Macaca mulatta: one gene and its partner. The protein of the gene in region 2 interacts with the protein of the main gene of each other region in a pairwise test. Links are inferred from orthologs where the notes say so. Each region holds a gene or a part of one and is shown on either strand. Other genes may lie near its edges.

Region 1 (2,984 bases), on a different chromosome or scaffold from region 2:
CTGGGTATCTGCTTCTAATCAGATACTCTGCTATCCTTTTTTTTTTTTTTTTTTTTTTTAATTCCCACGACATCCTCTCTTCCATAGGTATCTGGAACCTAAACATTTTGGTTACGTTTGGTATAAATGCAATTGCTTCTGTTCTTTCCCTGCTGCTAGTTCAGTATCACTTCTGGTCAGCCTTCCAGCTTCTAAACCTTTGTTGCTGTTGTCACCTCTCTATCTTTGTAAAAATCCCTTGTTTTAATGCACTTTTCAAAGAAGATAGAGCTAAATGTATTTGTTGATTTCACAATCTTTAACCAGAAGTCCAGACTGCCCTTTTCCCCTTGGTCATAGGTAAGTTGTGTGATTTGTTGGAGGTGTCAAGTGAGTACTATGTGTCAGTGGAGAAAATAGTTTTATTTAGATTAAAAGACCAAAATATTTTAACTCTTTGCATGTTTTTATATGTAGAGGTCAGAGTCATTAATTTAAAAACCTGTCATTTTGCGGCCGGGCACGGTGGCTCACGCCTGTAATCCCAGCACTTTGGGAGGCTGAGGTGGGCAGATCACCAGGTCAGGAGATTGAGACTATGGTGAAACCCCATCTCTACTAAAATACAAAAAATAAGCCAGGCATGGTGGCATTCACCTGTAGTCCCAGCTACTGGGGAGGCTGAGGCAGGGGAATTGCTTGAACCCGGGAGGCGAAGGTTGCAGTGAGCCAAGATTGTGCCTCTGCAGTCCAGCCTGGGCAACAGAGCGAGACTCCATCCCCCCAAAAAACCCTATCATTTTGCCCTAATGAAGTATTTCTGCTTTAACTATTGTAGGTTCGGTTTTCCAGTTTGGCAGCAGCACTACAAATTTCAACTTCACAAACAACAATCCATCAGGAGTGTTCACATTTGGTGCAAATTCTAGCACACCTGCAGCCTCAGCCCAGCCTTCAGGCTCCGGGGGCTTTCCATTTAACCAGTCGCCAGCAGCATTTACAGTGGGGTAAGAGAATTTTTTATTGAAATGGAGAATTCACATTGGTAAGGGTATGTGCATGTATATGTTTTGTTTTTAAAAGTCATCAAGATTCAGTATGGTTTGGGTAAAATTAAATATGTTCTCCAACATAAATTTACCGTACTACAATTCTGGAGAGTTGTATTACAGTTTGAGAAAAAAATAACAGTAGCGTGTGTGTTAGGTATAGCAGAAAATGTACATAACAATGTGAGTCTGCTCCCCCGCCACCCTACCCTTCTGCTGCTCATGGTAAATGTTAGCATTTGGAAATTTTGCTCAGAGCATCATGTCACATTATGAAGTTTTTATTTTTCACAGGTCAAATGGGAAAAATGTGTTCTCTTCTGGAACTTCAGTCTCTGGTCGGAAGATAAAGACTGCTGTTAGACGCAGGAAATAAAGGTCACATTGGTGTTATACGCAATTTTAACAACAGCTGGTGCCCTGCTTTCAGATACTGGATTGTACTTTGTGCTGGGGTTATCTGAAGTCAGATCTGCCTAAGGACTTCTTTAATTTTGGAATTTTCCTCCTTTTTCGTTACAGAAGCCCCAACCCGCCTCACCCACCCTTTTTAAAAAATATAATAGCTAGACTGGTGACTGATTCTTCAGCAAAAATATTTTATGATCCAGCAGATTATTCACTGATTTGACATAGTCTGGCTGTACCCAGGAATGGAGCCTGCACGGCGAATGGCTTTGTATAGAACCTCTTTTGTCTACACCATTATGTGCGCTGATAAGCGTTTACGGAACGCATTGAAATTGTAATTATATCTGAGGAATTCTGTATAGATTAGAATTCTGTATAGATTAGAGAATGTTGAAACGGATGATTTCTATGCTGAGTTTGTGCTGGTGTATGTGTGAAGTGAGTGAGTTGGGTGTATTGTGCACTAAACTTTTCTGATAGAGGAAGCCTGATTAAAGAATGGTCCGTGCTGAGGACTTGTTAGATCTAGTTCATCCTCCATTTAATAATTATATGCTATTTCTATATTTTCATTCTTCTATCACCTGTCTTGCCTTTTTCATTATTTTATTATGAAACTTGTGTAAATACAATTTTGTTTCTGTACTTTTTTGGCATAACATAAATCTGTGAACTTGAAATTTGAATTTTGTGTTAGAGATTTTTTTGTTGTTTGTTTAGTCTTGTCTCAGATTTTATTATGTAAATCCCATTATTCAAAGTTGCCTAAATCCATTTGGAAATCTTTAAAAAAAAATTGGGGATTCTTAAAGTTGAATTTATTGGCTTTTCTGATCCAGTTTTGTTTGGACCAAAAACCAGTATTGTACAAAGTATTAAGCATATATTTTTATATTTACTAAAATGGACTGTGGTGACTTTGGATAATAAGGAAAAGTTTAATATTAAAGCCATGTTTATTACAGTATAATTAACATGTTAAACCATGGGATAAATGCCATCAATAAAAAATTATGACATACTTTTTGTTCTAGTTTTACCTCATAATGAAGACACATAGTATTATTGGGAGGGGACTTTTTAAAATAAAGGTTAACTGTCTCATTAGAAGAATACATTGACGTGATTTAGACAACTCCTAAGAGAAAGGGAAAGTATCTGAAAGTATCTAAATGCACAACATATAGAAGGTACCCTAGTTCTTGCCTGGTGCTATGAATCATGCCTAATTTGCACATCGACTTACATACCTTTTTTAAAAGTTGAAAATAAACATGCACATTCATTTCTCTTTGTGCTTCTATCTTCCTTGGTAAGTTACTGGATAGTGTTTATTAAAATTCTTGGAGATACATACACAAAAACTAGTTGTTTCTTGGTGTGTGCAGAAGAAATTGTTCCCAGAACCACACTCCTCCAAATCCCCCGCCCCCATACCAAAATCCACAAATTCACGCATACTCAAGTCCAGCAGTGGCCCCTGTAGAACCTGAGCCAAGCCTCTGAATGTGCAGGTTTTATATCCCATGAATACTGTGCTTTTGA
Region 2 (3,833 bases):
ACTCTTTAGTGTATGTTTTTACAATAGAATACACAGATTTCTGTTTCCTAAACAGAAAGATCACTAGATATTCCCTGAGCTTTAAAAGAAAAATAACAGACTATGAAATAACTAAAACTCACATTCCTCTTTCACCAGAAGCTGGAGTTGTTTTCAACGTGATCTGTCTCTGCTGTTCAGGGACCTATAAAGAGAAAGCTCTTGATTGTTGTTCCTAGCCCACAAGAGTCCACTAAAAATGCTACAAAAAATATTTCACTATTGTTAATTCTCTCTGCATACATTGAATTTTAGCCAAAATTCACTCTGACAAAGGCTCCTATGTCACCAGGCACTTTCAAGTAAAATGTACAAAGAAAAACAATTTGTTACTTAAGCAGAATTAGCTAATCACCTTATTAGAAGGTTCTTGAGGCTCATCTCTCTGCTCAAGGTGTCTCTCTTGATGCTCCCTGAGTTCTCTTTCCAAGCGACTAATTCGACCTTCATATTGGGACTTTAGAGCAGTAATACGAACATCCAATTCATCTTTCTGCTGATCTAAGGCTCCATTCCTTTGTTTAAGCTCCTCATTTTCTTTAGTTAGCTGATCTTTTACACCTAAAGAAGTAACCAGGTGATTATATTAATATTACAATCAAACATTTAAAACAACATTTATGCACTTAATTGACACGTGGTCACATCAGATTCTACTACTATAACATCTACATTAGTTATGATATACTATACATCTCAATGAGCAAAGTTCTAAGTACATTCATGTTTTCACTTATTACTAGAATATAAAATATACTTACTCCAACATAAAAATTTAGTTTTTCCTAACTAAAATCTCAACAAACTAAAGATCTGAGTTAGCAGAAGCCCTTTTATATTTCAATGTATCATTCAATTCATTATTATGAATTGCAAAATTTTTATTTCATATAATCTACAGCACTGTTTAAAAATAATTCAAGAACTTTTAAAATCAAGTAAGTTGTTAGGACATTGTCTTAAAGATCATTTAAAAAAAAATGCCTGTAACAAAACCCAACTGATTTGACATTTTATTTAACTACTCAGCAGACTGACAGGCAAGGCTGAATAAACCCCTGATCCTTGAAGAACTAGGTTCTTCATAAATTTGACATGATACTCTCCCCAAAGAGCTAGAGGGGCCCACTACCATATGAGGCACAAAAAAATCCCTGGACTGGTAAAGATCTTTATGCAGTCTACATAAGGTGTGTAGGCAGCATGGTCTGGGCTCAAAGGATCTCTGTCACAAGATAAAATTGTTATTCATGAAAGCAGAAGGATAGCAGTACTCCATTATCTATTGCCAGCCAACAATTGAGAAAAATTTCATCATATCAAGGACGTCCTCATCACTTGAAAATTAGGATTGCTCTTTGTGTCCAACTAATTATTCCTAATATTTAAAGCGCGCACACACACACACACAGACACAAACACACCCTTCATAGTAGATACCTTTTATTTCTATTCCATTTAATTTTAAGCCTGCAACACACAACCAACTTTCATTACCAAGTTCAAACTTTAAACAGGTATTTACCAGCTAAGTGTGCAATTTTTGATTTTGCTGCTACAATAGCTTTTCTGGTTTTTTCTTCCTTTTCAGTTATCTGTTGTCGGAGCTGTTCCTCCTGTGTGGTTCTATCTTGAAGATCCTGACGAAGTCGTGAAAGTTCAGACTGAAGTTGCACAGTCTGTTCCTGGAGATTTCTTGCTTCTGTCTCTTTTTCAGATAATGTCTTTAAAGGAAAACAAAGTATTCACCATGGAATTCAATCATTTCAATATAAACTGTATGTGGTAGCAACTTAAAGTATAACTTATTAATTTGCTCTTTAAAAGATTAAATAGAAGCATAAAAATGGTGGTCAGACCAACTAAATGCACACCTGAAGATGACTGGGTACTACTTACTTACAGGAGCCATTCCAAGTAAAACGAATAAAATGTATCCATTCCCACATGGTAAGAGAAACTGTCAGTAGTTAGTACATATTTCTTCAGGTGTATAACAGGAAAGAATTAGGAACAGACTGTTCTCACACTCATACCTTCTGCAGATTCTCTACTTGACTCTCGAGTGATTTTGATTTTGTTTCTGCTTGGTTGAGCGTTTCTTTGAGTTCCTGCATTTCCTGGACTAAAACATGCTGTTCCTGATGGTCTCCAGAGGACTGAGCCGATGTCTCCATAACCTAAGACAACAAACAGTAATAATACACTTAAATATTTACGTTCAGTAATTCAATTTCTGCAAGTTTGTCTAAGAAAATAATCACAGCTTTGCAAAGAAACTTTATCCTTGAAGGTATTCGAAACAGAATTTTCTATGAAACAACTGTAATCTCCAAAAACGGGGAACTAGTTGTGGTTTTCCACATAACTGAATACTAAACAGCTAATCAAAATGATGCATTATAGTTGAATTTTCAACACTGAACTGCATTTTCATAATAATGAATCAAGTGAAAAAAGCAGACTACAAAATAATATAAGCATATAATATTATTTCTTTGAAAAAACACATCGCTTATATGTATGAAAAGGGATACTAATGTACTAATAGTGGCTAAAACAAAGGGGTAGTAATTGCGAATTTTTTCTTTATTTTCTAATCCAACATGTAATAAATACGTAATTCTCAATATACAAATTCCTTACCTTCAGGAATTAAAAACAACATTTAGATTCAAAATATAAACATAATAAAGATTTCTGAATTTTTTTGATAGGTGGTTAACATAAATAATTTATTTAAAACTATACAAAACCTGATTAGTCATCATTTTTTAATATCCAATTGTAATTACCAATGAGTTATAAGAACATAGCTTTGAAAATGGAGAGTACTTGAAAGGTGAAAACTGAACCAAAATATATCTAGTATTTACCAAAATTTGTGAGTTTATAATGCATTTTCAGCATATTAAAGAACTATTCTTAAATAAAGATATCATATATGGTTACACGAGTTTAGTATCTGAAAGCTAGTAATATTCAAAATTACAAAGAAATAAGATTTCATAACATTCACCCTAATTCTTTTTTGTAAGAAAAGCTTCTTCAAAATACCTTATCCTGTTGTGCTTTAAGTTCTTCATATTGAGTCTTGTACCTACGTCCAATTTTCTTTACTTGAGTAATAGTTTTGACTTTTTCTTGGATATCAATTATTTTGGCATCTAAGTCCTTCTGGATGGTTTCCTTTTCAGTTCTTACTTTATTTAGATCTTCCTTCAGACTCTGAATTAAGTTCTGGTTGTTAGTCAAAGATGCATTTGATCTTTAAAAAATGGAGGAAAAAATAAAGATTTTTCTTTCAAATTTTGAAGTTCAACGTAACTTTACGTTATACTGCTTTAATAAAATTTTTTTTTTTTTGAAAATCCTAAAAAATACCCACATACTTCAAAGGTAAGAACTTACAAATTTACAGCCCTTAGGCAAGATCTTATTACATAGGTTTACATGTGCATTTTAGAGATGAGAAAAACAGAGTTACCAGTGGTCAAGTAACATGCGCAATTTCACAAACTAAAATCAAGTGATGGTACTCAGATTTTAATTCAGACTTGCTTGAGAGTAAAACCCACCCTCTTTCTACTGCATTGAGTATTGTCAAATTTCTTCTGTAAAGGGCTGGATATTAGAATATGCTATACTTTGCAAGCCACAAAGTCTTTGCTGCATTTTTCTTCAACAATGCTTTAAAAATATAAAAATCAGTCTTGGCTTATAGGCTGTACAAAACCAAATCATGGGTCACATTAGGTCTGTGGGCTATAGTTTGCCAATGCCTGTACTATATC

The links.
Region 1: the proteins of TPR (region 2) and NUP153 interact in a two-hybrid assay, tested with the Homo sapiens proteins (3 studies listed by BioGRID, with this or other methods). The link is inferred for Macaca mulatta from reciprocal best matches to the Homo sapiens genes TPR and NUP153.

The regions. Positions count from the first base shown.
Region 1 is NC_133409.1:165,447,444-165,450,427, forward strand, and holds the end of NUP153 (nuclear pore complex protein Nup153), read left to right. Parts: intron 1-817; coding exon 818-986; intron 987-1,322; coding exon 1,323-1,404; 3' UTR 1,405-2,460; downstream 2,461-2,984. UniProt on the Homo sapiens protein: Component of the nuclear pore complex (NPC), a complex required for the trafficking across the nuclear envelope. Functions as a scaffolding element in the nuclear phase of the NPC essential for normal nucleocytoplasmic transport of proteins and mRNAs.
Region 2 is NC_133406.1:43,764,811-43,768,643, forward strand, and holds part of TPR (nucleoprotein TPR), read right to left. Parts: intron 3,308-3,833; coding exon 3,097-3,307; intron 2,220-3,096; coding exon 2,076-2,219; intron 1,764-2,075; coding exon 1,565-1,763; intron 601-1,564; coding exon 395-600; intron 185-394; coding exon 123-184; intron 1-122.